4 linked regions of the Yarrowia lipolytica genome follow. The protein of the gene in region 4 purifies or fractionates together with the protein of the main gene of each other region. This does not show direct contact. Links are inferred from orthologs where the notes say so. Each region holds a gene or a part of one and is shown on either strand. Other genes may lie near its edges.

Evidence for each region.
Region 1: the proteins of YALI1_A04119g (region 4) and YALI1_C29810g purify together in Saccharomyces cerevisiae (affinity purification with western blotting; 3 studies listed by BioGRID, with this or other methods). This does not show direct contact. The link is inferred for Yarrowia lipolytica from reciprocal best matches to the Saccharomyces cerevisiae genes RPF2 and RPL3.
Region 2: the proteins of YALI1_A04119g (region 4) and YALI1_D13126g purify together in Saccharomyces cerevisiae (affinity purification with mass spectrometry, with the first as the bait; 3 studies listed by BioGRID). This does not show direct contact. The link is inferred for Yarrowia lipolytica from reciprocal best matches to the Saccharomyces cerevisiae genes RPF2 and NOC3.
Region 3: the proteins of YALI1_A04119g (region 4) and YALI1_C17995g purify together in Saccharomyces cerevisiae (affinity purification with mass spectrometry; 3 studies listed by BioGRID). This does not show direct contact. The link is inferred for Yarrowia lipolytica from reciprocal best matches to the Saccharomyces cerevisiae genes RPF2 and RRP15.

Annotation. Positions count from the first base shown.
Region 1 is NC_090772.1:2,979,317-2,982,808, forward strand, and holds YALI1_C29810g (60S ribosomal protein uL3), read left to right. Parts: upstream 1-1,754; coding exon 1,755-2,918; downstream 2,919-3,492. UniProt on the Saccharomyces cerevisiae protein: Component of the ribosome, a large ribonucleoprotein complex responsible for the synthesis of proteins in the cell.
Region 2 is NC_090773.1:1,310,722-1,315,209, reverse strand, and holds YALI1_D13126g (uncharacterized protein), read right to left. Parts: upstream 2,567-4,488; coding exon 509-2,566; downstream 1-508. Other genes in the region: YALI1_D13124g (uncharacterized protein), read left to right, coding at 2,743-3,540; YALI1_D13108g (uncharacterized protein), read right to left, coding at 3,712-4,401. UniProt on the Saccharomyces cerevisiae protein: Required for synthesis of 60S ribosomal subunits and the transport of pre-ribosomes from the nucleoplasm to the cytoplasm. Also required for initiation of DNA replication.
Region 3 is NC_090772.1:1,797,696-1,800,859, reverse strand, and holds YALI1_C17995g (uncharacterized protein), read right to left. Parts: upstream 1,332-3,164; coding exon 591-1,331; downstream 1-590. Other genes in the region: YALI1_C17988g (uncharacterized protein), read left to right, coding at 2,016-3,164. UniProt on the Saccharomyces cerevisiae protein: Constituent of pre-60S ribosomal particles. Required for large subunit rRNA maturation, in particular processing of the 27S pre-rRNA at the A3 and B1 sites to yield 5.8S and 25S rRNA.
Region 4 is NC_090770.1:410,084-413,392, reverse strand, and holds YALI1_A04119g (uncharacterized protein), read right to left. Parts: upstream 1,470-3,309; coding exon 504-1,469; downstream 1-503. Other genes in the region: YALI1_A04109g (uncharacterized protein), read left to right, coding at 2,412-3,309. UniProt on the Saccharomyces cerevisiae protein: Required for biogenesis of the 60S ribosomal subunit.

The sequences.
Region 1 (3,492 bases), on a different chromosome or scaffold from region 4:
TACTGGTACATACTGTACCTGGGCTACAATTATCTTACATCAACATCAATATTACTTGTACACATTCACCAATCCGTAAAATCAACGATTATGACTTTATAAGACCGTCTCTCTCCTTCCTGACACCCGCTTGAGTCTGTCCTTAGTCAAGACAAACATTAGTTGGACTTCTGTTAAGATAAATGACAACTAGCTGTTCAACATCAGTCCTTCAGTGATGGTGGAGAGATGGGAAGTTCGCCAAGTTGTAGTACTTGATGGTCATTTCAGTACGGAATACAAAAAAACTCCATAAAATCTGACATTTCCTCTGATATCCCAATTTTTGAAAATTTTCTTCCACTCGAAATACTTAGTGTTTAGTTGAAGGAAGCCGGCCCAGAGAGTCCGATCAGGATGTGAATAATGACGCCAACAACTTGAATTGCAGAAACGAGCTCATAGTCCTATTTCACAAGACTCTCGTCACTTCTCCTACACGATTTTTGTGGAAGATTGGACCATGATATCAGAACGACATCTGCAACTTACAGCTAGAGGATTCTGTTAAAGATCAGTGAGGACACACTGAAGTCGGAGACGGCAGGCAGTTTGTCAACACTTGGTGTTAGGATACACCACGGAGATAATGCTATGTACTGTACTTGTACTTGTACACAGAGATATATGGAGCAAGTTTTCTGGTACGAGTCGGTAGATCGACATGTTCATCAATATCAACGACGCTATAGTTCTATAGTACAATATGTACTTTTGACCCTTCCTACTCAGACTCAGAACCCTAGGATACTTGCAGTATTGTAGCTGACAGATGTTCTGTAGGGGCAATGATCTGTATATGCAGCTATTCCTGATTTGCAAGAGATATCCTCCTCCCTGTACTTGTATATTGTTCTTCACTTTTGTCATGTACTGGTTGTGAGCTAAGTTGCATTGCATGAAAAAATTGTACATGAAAAATACGGAAAAACAGGGGAAAAAATCAGAACATGGGCAACTAAGGTAAGGAGAGGTTTAGAAGAGCCCTTCTCTGCAATTTCAGACAATGTAAATGCATTGTATTTCTGTCATAATTCTAGGGATTGTTTTTAGCCACAATTCTCATAATTATATCTCTGTATCTCTGAGTATTTTTTCCCGTATTTTCCCTAATAATTGCTGCAAAATCGATATTAAATTGCCCCCATTCCAGAGCCAAAAGTTTATAGTGCCATACAACTGAGGGTGCTATCAAGAAGACTTAAACGCCAGCTGAATGATGTTTATCAAGCTGCAAGTCCTTTGGAACAGCAACCGTTCTGTTATTTTTATCCGGTTTTTCAAAATATATGCTGTTTCGGGCCCGTTTTCATTCTTGCTGATTTTCCATGAATTTTTCCTTATTAATATTGCGAAAATCTGTCGTAAATCGAACTCCCAACTGGACTACATAAATAATAACCTTAAATTCAACCCAAATTGGAGATCTATTCACACCCTCACTGAAACTTGCTGAATATTATCCAAAATTGCTAGTTATTTTTACAGTAGCTTCATCCTGTGGTCATAAAATATTCCTCTAACTTTCACCGTCTCAGCATAACTATTGCTCCTGTTTGAGTCACCCAACTAGTCAGTCCCCATTTTAGCTTTGATCACATGACACATCCCAATCGGTAAAAACAGTCACACGCTGGTCTCGAACTCTAAATTTTGCAGTAGATTTCCACCGGTCAAAAACTCTGCACACATCTTTCGTTCCTCACTATCTCAAAATGTCCCACCGAAAGTACGAACAGCCCCGACACGGTCACCTGGGTTTCCTCCCCCGAAAGCGATGCACCAAGTCTCGAGGAAAGGCCAAGTCTTTCCCCAAGGATGACAAGTCCAAGCCTGTTGCTCTGACCGCCTTCCTTGGTTACAAGGCCGGTATGACCACCATTGTCCGAGACCTCGACCGACGAGGCTCCAAGATGGACAAGCGAGAGATTGTCGAGGCTGCCACCGTCGTTGACACTCCCCCCATGGTTGTTGTCGGTGTTGTTGGTTACGTTGCCACTCCCCGAGGTCTTCGATCCCTGACCACCGTCTGGGCCGAGCACCTGTCCGAGGAGGTCCGACGACGATTCTACAAGAACTGGTACAAGTCCAAGAAGACTGCCTTCACCAAGTACGCTAAGCAGTACGAGGGTGACGCCGCCCAGGTCCAGAAGGAGCTCGAGCGAATCAAGAAGTACTGCACCGTTGTGCGAGTTCTTGCTCACACCCAGCCCAAGCTGACTCCTCTTAAGCAGAAGAAGGCTCACCTTGCTGAGATCCAGATCAACGGTGGCTCCGTTGCCGACAAGGTCGAGTGGGCCCAGCAGCACTTTGAGAAGACCGTCACCATCGACACTGTTTTCGAGCAGGACGAGATGATTGACGCCATTGCCATCACCAAGGGTAAGGGATACGAGGGTACCACCCACCGATGGGGAACCAAGAAGCTGCCCCGAAAGACCCACCGAGGTCTGCGAAAGGTCGCCTGTATTGGTGCCTGGCACCCTGCCAACGTCCAGTACACCGTGGCTCGATCCGGTCAGGACGGTTACCACCACCGAACCTCCGCCAACCACAAGGTTTACCGAGTTGGCAAGGGCGGTGACGAGTCCAACGGCTCCACCGAGTTCGACCGAACCCCCAAGACCATCACCCCCATGGGTGGTTTCGTCCGATACGGTGAGGTCAACAACGACTTCCTCATCCTCAAGGGTTCCATCCCCGGTGTCAAGAAGCGAGTCATCACTCTGCGAAAGTCCATGTGGCTGCACACCTCTCGACGAGACCTCGAGAAGACCCAGCTCAAGTGGATCGACACTGCCTCCAAGTTCGGAAAGGGCCGATTCCAGACCCCTGCCGAGAAGACTGCTTTCATGGGCACTCTCAAGAAGGACCTTTAAGCGGTTTCTCTTGTTGGAAATTTAAAAAATTAAAATGCACAATAGCAATAACCGAGTGTGTAGAGTACCTGCAACTGAGTGCAAAAGTACTTGTAGTACTTGTAGTCCTAGCGCTGTATACTGTAAGTAGATTGTCGTTTGACTAACTGTAAGATAGTTACTTTCCTTACACTAACTTGATTCGAAGACGCGTAGAGGGAGATCGATCATGACTATGAGCGAGCCCAACTGACAACATTCATATGAAGGGAAACAGTGAAGGCATAAGATGGAGCAACAATGCAGACGAGTATGGTTGCAGATTGCACTCTCGCAAATGCATGATACATGGTTGTACTTCTGTTTCTGGAACGAATTGCTTCCCATCATTGGCCTGGTGTGAGACAGGTGTGCCGACAGATGTGCCGACAGATGTGCCGTCAGATGATTTGAAGTGCTTACTGAGCAAGGTGAGATTGTCGCAGACTCTCCGCAGACAAGGAGACAGTACTAACAGGAACATTACAGGTTCATTCCATTGAAAGAGCTCCTTCTATTAACCGAGAGTGTAGCAGAAGTCTCCGAACGGTCCGAG
Region 2 (4,488 bases), on a different chromosome or scaffold from region 4:
GAATAGCATAATCGAGGTACTGACGCAGATCGACCGACGTTTGTTATACGAACCTACTAATGTCAAGAGAGAGCTCTGAACTCAGCTACCACAGTACAGAAGATATTACAACTACTTTCATTCCTGTGTACTCACTACAGTTGTTTGAGAGTTCTCAAAACATCTGAAAGCATCCTGACCTGCATTTCCCATAGACTATGTCCATCGGAAAGGTGGGGGTCTCTCTCTATGACCCCTTTCCACGTCTTATCGTATGTTGTGTTATGTCTGAATGAATACATAGTTACTGGATCCTCATTTTCCATAATGGATACTATTGATTGCGTCATTGTCAGATACGGCATAATCAAACGCAGGTGCAGTTGCTGAGTAACTGTAGCTCCTATAGAGCTTTGCCTATACATTCAGATGAATCGTATGGTAGATTTACTCATCTATAACACACTGTTTACACTCAGTCACTCACTAGCTATTCCTGTTGTCCAAATATACATTTCTATAATCCTCTCTAATGCTTGTTCTTCTTGACGTTTCGGGGCACCAGTTTGGCGGCCTTGGCAATGTCTGGCGAGAAGTGTTTCTCCAGCAACACTGTCTCCCAGATGGTAGATGCTTCGGGGTTGGCATGGTCGGGTTGGTCCACGTCCATTCGGTACACTCCGTTGGTGATTCGGTCGTCGGACGAGTACAGAGCGGTCATAACGGTGAACTTCTTATTGAGCCGGTCGAGAATCTTGAGACCGGCCATGCACGACTTTTCGGGTAGCTGGAGACAGATGGTAGCCAGTCTCTTCGCAAAAGCCTGGACTCGCAGCCGAGACACGTGCTTCTGCTGCAAGAAAATACCCTCGAACGACCTCACCACCATCTCCATCTCTGTGGCCACGTTGATTTTGGACCGCTTATTGCTGGCGGACTCGTTGGTGTTGGGATCATCAAGACGAAGAGACTTGTGTGACAGCTCAATGTCGGGGTTGAGACCCAGAGCGTAGAGTGACGAGTAGAAGTGGTTGATGAAGAAGGTCAGATCGAGGTTCATGGACTCGCCCACCTGGCCTCCAAGCAGCACGAATGCAGTGACAATACACAGAAGAGCCTCTCGGGTAGAGGTTTCCAAGAACTCTTGCTTTCCGTCGTCGGTGTATCGGATTTGACGCTCGGTGATGAGCTCCCGTAGCACCTCCAGCAGATCGCCAAAGAAGTCGGCGTTGATGAGATGCGAAAATTTGGCCAGACCCTCCAGAGTGGCTGCCATGAGATGCTGTGGTCGTTCCTTGAGAATGTTAAAGTACAGAACAAAGACGATTTTGAGCGTCTCTCCCTGGATCTTCTCTCGCTCCTCGGTCGATACCGCCATCTCTGCCTTTAGCATCTCCTCGTCGATCTCCTTCTTCTCCTTGAGCGTTTTTCGCTGCTTCTTGGTCAGGTGCACTCGGTCCTTCTTTCGCACCTTGGCTGTCGGTGCTTGTTGAGACTCCACGTGTCTCTGGGAAGCTCTGGCGTCGAGCTCTGTCAGCAACCGCAGTTTAAGCAGTGAGTTGAGCAACGACTCGTCAATTCTATACTTCTTTGCACGGATCATCTTGGACAAGGACATGACAATCTCCTTCACAGCAGAACCCTCGAAGTCGTCCTCAAACAGAGACTCGATGGTGGACAACGCCTTGAAGTAGTTGGCGTCGTAGGGCTTCTGTCCCACACGGTTCACCACAATCGCCACGAGGTCAGATCTGAAGTTGAAGTACGCAGACGTCTTGAGAAGTTCGCAGGCTGCCACCACGCACGAGTCTCCCAAAATTCGTTTCATGGTGCCTTCAGTGGAGCCTCGGGCCTTCTTGGAAAACTTGCTAATGTAGTCTAGATACGCCTTGTAGTTCTGCAGCAGCGACGTCTCGAAGTTTCGTAGTCTCTTGACCTCCTTAGACACCTTTTCTCGCTTTTCGGCCTCGGTTAAGGGTCTGATTTTGTAACCAGGAATGATCGACTGGAAAATAGGAACCAGCGACAGAATCGTCAGTTGTACCACCCGGAATGACTGCTTTCGACCCATGAGCTCCCGAATCTTGCGCAGACAGTGAATGTTCTCCTCGGCGTCCTCGTTGAGCTGGTCGGCCAGTTCTGCAATCTCGGCCTGGGCCTTTCGAAATCGGGCCTCTCCAGTGACCTCGTCTTCCTCCTCGAAATCAGAATCGCCAATGTCGTCCTCCTCTTCCTTCTCGGCGGCCTCCTTGGCTGCCTGTTCTGCTGCTGCTGCCTCTGCTGCCTCTCGAGCTGCCTCCTCCTCTTCCTCCTGTCGCTGTCTCTCAGCTTGCTCCTCCAGCTTTCGCTTGCTGATTTTGTCGCCCTTCTTGCGCATCACCCGCTTGATCTGGCCGTCTTCGCCTCGCACAGGCAGCATTTCACCGAGAGATTCTTCCTCCTTGAAAGATCGAGGTCCATAGTCCTCATCCTCCTCGTTGTCAGAGTCTTTGATGTACTGCCATGATTGCGCAAGCTTGCTGTCCTGCTCCTGCCGAGCCTTGGCCCGCTTTTCAAACTTGGCCACGTCTCGCGATCGTTTCACCATTGTGTGTTTGTGTGTCTGTGTATGGCGTTGTTATATCACCAATATCCTCGTAGCAGCATGTCTGTAAATTTCTTGAATAAGGTTTGTCGTCAGAAAAATAATTTCATGCAGTGCAAGTTTATTCCAGCATCACTGTAGTTCCAAGATACTTCAGATATACTCATCACCATACACAAATGCCCCGAAAACGACCGAGAAACGTGCTCAAACGAGAGGTGGTACCGCTGGACCAGGACCCCGAGGACTTCTCTAACCGAAAGAAGAGCAAGTTCACCAAGAAGAAGGGGAAGTTCGCCAAGGACAACTACAACGACAGTCACGATGACGATACCCCCAAGAGCTTCAAGCGAATGATGGCCCGCCAGGAGCGAACTGCCCAGAGCCAGGAGGAGGAGAGGGGCCGAAAGAAGCAAAAGAAGGAACTGTACCCTACCAACAAACACATTTCGCATGAGAACTCCGAGCTGCAAATGAAACCCGGTGAGTCGTGGGCGGACTTCTCTCGAAGAGTTGACGAAGCGCTGCCCAATGCGAAGCCCCGCAAGTCGGAAAACGCCAAGGAGCTCACACGGCTTGACAAGAAGAACATTCAGAAGCAGAAGAACCGGGTTCTGCAGAACGAGATGGACTACAAGAAGGCCGATGAGGCTGCAGAGGAGGGAGACGGGATGGATGAGAAACGGCTCAAGAACGACCTGTTCTTCCCCAAGAAGCAGAGAGATAAGTCGCCCGATCCTTGGGCCGTGCTAGAAAAGAAGAACAAGAAGGCCAAGTTTGGAGAGGTGGCTGACGCTCCCCCTGTGCTGAATCTGCCTCGAAAGCTGCTTCCTAACGTCCCCAAGGCTTCCGGAGACAACGCCCGGCGTCTCATTCTCGAGGCCGAGCGACAAAAGGTTATTGACGAGTACCGAAAGATTTCTCGAAAGGATGATCCCACCTATAACGTGGACTTTTCCAACGCCACTGTGGAGTGACCTAACTAGATAATAGATTGCATACAATACGGAATGTAATTCTTGTACGGTAGTAGTGCTACAATAATAATACAATAATAATACATTTTACCTATAAATACCAAGACACTGGAGGTACTGTGTCATAAATTGTTGTTTGATGAGTACTGTAGCCTCTTGGTGTACAGTCCACTACTGGTTAAACAACGGAACCTCTTCAACAACACCCTTTTCTGACTCCTTTCTCTGACGCCCGATAACAGCGTCCAACTCTCGGTTATCAAAGTCGTACTGGTTCCAGTCGATTGAAGGAACCATGGTGACATAGAGAGCCTTGGGGAAAGACACTTGTCCGCTCTTGACCTTTTCCAAAAACTGCTCGGGTTGCTCCACCGCCTGCTGTCTCATTTGCGACAGTTTGACCAAGTCTCTTTTGCTCGTCTCTTGCTGTCTCGTAAGCATGGACAGCGCAGAAGTCAGAGCAATGTAGTCTGTGTTTTCGGCCAGTTCCGAAGATTGAGACACCTCGGGTGAGTTGAGAGCTTCCTGTGGAGTGTCTTCTTCTTTGACGTTCACTTGTGGAGACTTCTCCACCTCCTCGGATTTCTCCTTCTCTTCAACCTGTTCTTCCGTCTCATCTCCCTCATGTTGCTCCACCTTCATCACCTCCTCGGATTTGGATTTATCCTTGCCGGACGTTTTTTTCTTGCTGGAGGGCTTTTCCACCTTGGAGCGCGGCTTCACCATATTTGTGTTGCGTTGACTGTCCGCCACAGAGCCAGGTTGAGGCACTATGGGATGCATGGCCGAGATGAAATTCGAGGGTGTAATTAAGACGGAGTGATGAACCTTATTTTTGCGACTGGAAAATGGCATCGTCATCAGGACTCATATCTACAGGTAACGGTTGCTGATGGAATGAGATTTTACGGGTATTAGAGAGTTGACGTTCTCTTCATTACAAAAACT
Region 3 (3,164 bases), on a different chromosome or scaffold from region 4:
GTAAGAAGTTGCGTCAAATGTGAGCATTTAAACTTTGCACGTCGTGTGGTCCCAACGGCGCTGAGTAAGCGGAAGAGAACGATTGCTCCGAGTGATATAACAGGATTACTTGGCTTTAGTTGACGAATTGATGGGATGCTGAGATCAGGACAAGTCGTCCGAAGTCGCCCAAAACAGGAGATGAAGAGATGGTAGCGACATTTTAGTATCATAGAGGAGGTATATCTGTTTGGGGGGTTCTGGTCCACTAACCAAGGGAGATGGAATGGGATAAGAAGCTGTACTGCTTGTACACACTGTACTTACATAGTAGACCTCCTCTCATGAGTTCTGTTCAAAGATAGTGTCGATTAAATCATCGTCATCAGATTTCAGCCACTAACTTGATTCACTGTTGGTACTGCACTTTCACTCCCATCCTGGTGATATCCTCTTCTCAATGTCTCTCTTCTCAATGTCTCTCTTGCCATGTACCATCTAAACGGCTACCCAATGGGTTTTACTCTCATACCTATCTACGCTCTTCCCGTCGCCGCCTACACCTCCAATTGAAATAATCCAACCCATTAACTATATCTATATCGGGGCATTCAGCCCTCCCGGACGGCGTCCAAAAAGCTTTCCTTGGACATCTGCGAGGCCATTTCTTCTCGCTTTTTGGCTCCCAGAATGCTGGTTTCGTCCATCGACTTGGCTCCAGTCTGGGCAGCCAGAATGGCGTTGAACATTCGAATGGCTCCTCTCTGGGCCACCTTTTTCAATTTCTTTTCGTTAGCGAGAATCTCCTTAGCCTTTTCGGGCTCGTCGAGAGGCACCAGCGTCTTGACTCGGTCCTTCTCTGCGGCCTTTCGCTTCTCCAGCTTGATGAGCCGTCGGGCCTTGGCCTCCAGCTTCTGGTCTTCCAGCTCCTTGGCCGACTTTGTGGATCGAATCAGAATGGGGTTCTCCTTGGCGTGCGCCTTGATGGACGAGCCCAAAATGGCAGAGAAGGCCTTGCCGAACGCCTCATCCTTTTTTGCCTTCTTGGCCTTGTGTAGTGCACTAGCGTCCATCTCCTCGTCCTCAGACTCGTCCTCGTCAATGTCAAACTCGTCCTCCATCATCGAGTCATCCTCCGAATCGTCCTCGGACTCCTCCTCCTCCTCCGAATCAACCCCCTCATCCTCCTCTCCATCTCCGCCTTCCAGGTCGTCGAGATCCTCGTCTTCCGACTCCTCTTCAGCGGCCTTCTGCTGCTTCGACACCTTCTGCTGCTTCGGCTTGGCAGCAGCGGCGTCCTGCTTCTCCACCTTAATGGTCACTTTGCCCTTGGCTCCTGATTTTTGACCCATGCTGTGTTTTTTCTTGTGAGTGCGTGCAAAAATATCGGTTTAGAATTTCACCTTTTCCTCTCCCAGGATTTTTTTTGGTGGTGTGCCTCAGATATGCACGGCAGAAAGCCAAACACAGGTTATGACGGTGATGTAAAAATGGATGGTAGAAGCAGATCATCGCGAAAAAAAGGTCATGTGTTTGCATCTGCGGTGATATTGGCTTCGGCCTCTCTCAGCAACAAAACATTGGTGCAATTACGACCATTGTAGCCCTCTCAAAACCAGCCATCTTTTGTTGAAGAATTTTACTTGAAAAGTCCAAGTAATGTAAACACACATATAGTTAGGGTTTTGGGTAATTTATGTGACCCGATTTTGGAGGGCCACCCACCGTAAAAAGAAAGCACTGTCGAAGACGACACACATCCAGCACGTCAAATACCCATCTGGAGAGAAAAATCATTATACCTACTTGCTCCTCTCGTCGGCGAGATTCAGTTGGTATAAAAACATCTCCGGATTTTCATCATTATCAAGCATTTTTCAATCACTCCTCTGCGTCAGGTTCGACTCCTCCCAACCTAGTCCTCCTGCGTTGCCGGGACAACCGCCCTCAAAACACTGAAAGCTTATATCAAAACATACACTATCACCGCTTAATTGAATTCCAAACATCTAAAGCTCCCCTGGACGATACGATACATGACACACAATATGGACAATGTGTTACAGCCTCACAAGGGGGCGAATTCCGGCATCCCCCGGTTTGTGGCCAAGTCGGCAAAGGTCAGCGAACACAAACCCCGCAGCGTCGCCAACAATGAGAACGTGCCTATAGGCTCCAAGCGACCTGCTCCTGGAGCTCTGCCGGTGCCCGTTTCCAGGTTACACAAAGACGACACTCTGTACGGACGCCGAACTGGCATTGGGGCTCCTTCGATGAACCCGTCTGTGCCGCCTACGCCTAGCCACACGGCTCCGGTTCAGATTCGCAACAAGATGGGAGGGGGTTCCAAGGGCAGTGGAGAGGACGACTCTTATGCCTCCACCATGGTCAAGGAGATGTGGGTTCGGCTAGGTGAGAAGGACAAGGAGCTGGAGCAGAAGCGACAAGAGTTTCAGGACAATGCCAACAAGCACATGCAGGTGTTGAACGATTTGAACCGAATGTGTTTTGAGAAGCAAAAGCTGGAGGACGAAAACGAGGCCCTGAGGAGGAAGGTGGACAGCTTGAGGCGTGAGAATGAGCACCAGCAACACGAGATCAACGAGGGCTCGGCGCGTATCAAGGAGCTGAGTGAAAACGCAGACAATCTCATGTCCTTGTGGGAGTCGTCAGTCAAGGATATGGATCGAGAGAAGGAGGACAAGGAGAGCCACGTCAAGGAGCTTGTGGACAAGCTGGAGGAGAAGGAGCGACGCGTTGAGGAACTGGAACGCCTGCTAGAGCAGATCCGTGTACAGATGGATGAAAAAACTGAGCTGTTGTCGACACTCCAGGCACAGTCTCAACAGAAAGTAGACGAGTTGAAACGCGAGATGGACACTCAGATCCAAAACATTCGCCGCGACGAAACGCAACTACGTGGCAAGTTTGAGGAGCAGCATAAACGGGCCATTGAAGAGCTCAATCGCCGCCATGACGAGTCCCGAAGCCACATGGAGGAGCGGTACGAGTCGTTTGAGCGCGAGTTGGAGGGCGTGTCCGAACAGCTAAAGAGCAAGGCGCAAAAGTGTGCTGTATACGAGCAAGAAAACGCGACGCTCAAGGGCCAAATTCACGAGTTGTCGATCTCGTCCAACCAAGCCTCTTCTCTCACATCCGTGTTGCAGTCTCAAATCGACAAGCTC
Region 4 (3,309 bases):
CCTGTTTATCTAGTTTGAGAGGAGTAGGTGAAAATCCGAACCTCTTGGGTAATAAATCATGGACCAAAGAGTCCCACCCGAATATTTGAGTCGTAGAGAGTTTGTAGTTGTAGACGCTTGATCTTTTGTAATTATGTTCAGGTAATACTGCACTTGCCGTGTATTTATACTTGTCTGAGAACATCTCAATTCATTTAAAAAGATACATATCCATCTATAAATCACTTTTTATTGACGCCGTGGTTGGTTGGAAGACGACTCTACTGGTCGTTTTTTCTCCTTTTGACATCAGTTCGATAAAAACCACATGGAAGACAGTTTCAGAATGTTTTCTGGTATCGTGACATACGAAACAATCTAATATAATACTAATACTAAAAATTAAATAGATATCTACCCTTGATGAATCGAACGGAATACGCAATCTCTTTTGTTTGATGAAAAAATTTGGAGTTTGTTCACGTGGCTACACAAACGGTTATCATTAAAATGCATTCTATCAATTACTCATTAAAATACTCCTCCTCTTCCACTCGGGCCTTCTTGGTGGTGACCACCTCGTCATCGGCTTCCTCGTCGTCCTCGACCTGGTCGTACTTCTTCTTGAGACCCTTCATCTTACGGGTCTGCAGCTTGCCCAGATCCTGCTTACCCACGTGGACTCGGCCAATCTTGTCACCCATGTTGTCCACCTCCACGTTCTTCTTGGTCTTCTGTCGCAGCTGCTCAGGCACTCGCAGAGCCTCCTTCTCCACGTCAGGAGCAGCAGCCTGTCGTCGGCCAATCTTGAAGTCGAATCGGGGGCCGATTTCTTGCAGCTCGATTCGAGGAAGCTTCTGGCCAGATCGGAAAGATCGGATCTTGTAAACTCGGAAGTTGATCAGAGGCAGAGGCTTGTCTTCCTGCACCTCGCCGGCAGAGATTGAAATGATATATTGCAGACCGGCAGCATCCTGCAGATCGGTGGTATCGCCTCGGAAGAAGTCCAGAAACAGAGACTTGACATGCATCAGAACAGGGTCGGTTTCAAAGCCGGTACCGTTGAAGGTAAACATGGGCTTGAGACCCACACCCACAGTCTGGGCCTTGAAATCTCGTAACAGTCGGTGGTTGACAATCTGCAGCTCGATCATGTCGAAGAGCTGGTATCCAAACGTTCGGATCCAGGTCAGGTTGTTGGGTCGCTTCTTGTTAGACGACGAAAAGACCAGCAGAGATGTGTCGTTTTTTTCCGAGAAGAATTCCAACGAGGACACATCCTCAAAGGGGTTGATTTCGTTCTTCTTGTTGAATCGCTTGCCATCGGGCAGCTTGAGAGCACAAAGATCCACCATGGCATCGTGAAGAAGCTGGTTGGAGGTCTGGCCGGGCACAAACAGCGCCTGCTTTGTGTTCTCGACAATCTTGGGCTCCTTGGCATCGACGGCTCGCTTGGCCCGAGCGTTTTTCGGTTTCACTTGTCGCAACATATTTTCTTGCTGTACCTGTAACTGTGGTTCGGTGTAATGTCTGCGTAGGCGAAAATTTCACCGCCTGCATAAATTTTTTACAGTTACGGTTGCCCTTACCCTGATAAGATGGAGTAGTAGAAATGTCAGTAGACGGAGGTGTTTGGACGACTGTGCGAGATGATTTGGTCACGTGATATGAAAAGTGATTATTATGGTCATGTGACACCTAATTTTCAAAAAAACACGCACACTTTTCGTACGTCAATGGCTACTTTTGGGTGTCTTACTATTGAAAACCTACTGAGATCAGTTTACTAATCATCGCCACTATTGTGAGTGGCAAACAAGAGGATTGGGAGAAATAATTTGTAGCGAGCATATGTATATGAGATGAAGGTATGAGTTGGGTATAGTATCTATTACAGCTTTAGTTTCTATCAACCACCAACTTGATTGAAAAGGGTTGAGGATTTTGTTAAGAATGATGGTGATGTTACAATCACATACGATAGTAAAATGTATAATCCAATCTGGTCGTATTAATTGACGAGTTAATAACTGATATATAGCTATATCTTTACTTTCCTGGTTCCCAGTTGATGTTGTTGGTTTCAGAAAGAGCGAGAATGTTGTTGAGGGCCTACTTGACTATTAGTTGGCCCGTAGGTTGTGTCAATTTTGTTAATCCTTTGTTGTGAACCTCGTATTAGTTGGTATTTTACTTAGGGTAGTATTTGCAAGAAGAACGAGACAATAGAGCGTCCAAAGACACAAAACAATAACAGGAGTCGCCGTGACGGCACTATCAAGGGTTTAAAAGTCCATTGTAGTTGGTTCTTTGTGCAATTACGACAACCATCATTCCACAACATAATCCACCTCCTGGTAGACCCTAACCCTAATGCAGGCAATTGAGAGTTGCACAAAAAGATCCAAACACAAACACAGACACATCCATCCATGTCGCAAATTGGCAATATTCGAAAGCTGCGGCAAAAAGCGGTGCAGCAAGAACTCAACCGAGTTGTGCCTGCGACGCTCTTCAACGACGATGTGACGGAAAAGTCGTTCACCAACCTGTCGGCTGTGGAGGACAGTCTGGCGGATTATGGCTCCGAAATCACCCGCACGGCCATGTACAATGTGACGCGATTGGCAGCAAGACCCGATCTATCAGGAGTGGAGATTGCTTTTGATTCCGGTGAGCATGTGAGCTCATCGCTATCTGACGACTTTGGGCTGGTGGTTGTGGGGAACAAGGCACATGTGTGGAAGTACACATCTCCTGAGCCGACCCCAGAGACCTTTACACATAGTCTGGGAGTCCAGGATAATGCTCTGGGTCACCTGATCCCCGTGACGCCGAGTTTCAAGGACGTTGGACATCCCGGTCTGGTGCTAGTGGGTGTCAATTCTGGTTTGTGTGTCTTCTGGGAGTCAGTGGGAGGTGCAGCTGCTGAAGGGTACCTGCGAACACGACAGCAGGTGGAGACCCAGATTAAGCTATACAGTGGTGAGGTGATTGAGCACGTGAACCGCATGGACGATGTCACGCTGGTGCTGTCTCTGTCCTCGGGCCGTCTCATTGGCCTCTCTCTTCGAGATAAGGACGAGGCTGCTCTCAACTACTGGACTCTGCGAGACACAAAGGCCGGCCTGTTGAGCAACATTCGATCCGCCTTTTCCGTGTCTTCCAACAGACGTGGAATCACTGGAGTCCGAGTGGTTCCCTCTACGAACCGCAGCTGGCGCATCTACGTAGCCACCTCGGAGTGCCATCTTGGAGTGTGGGAGGTGACAGAGGGTGGAGATGCCACCATTTTGGCAGACAAGGACCTGAAGCCCATGCTTTCGGCTG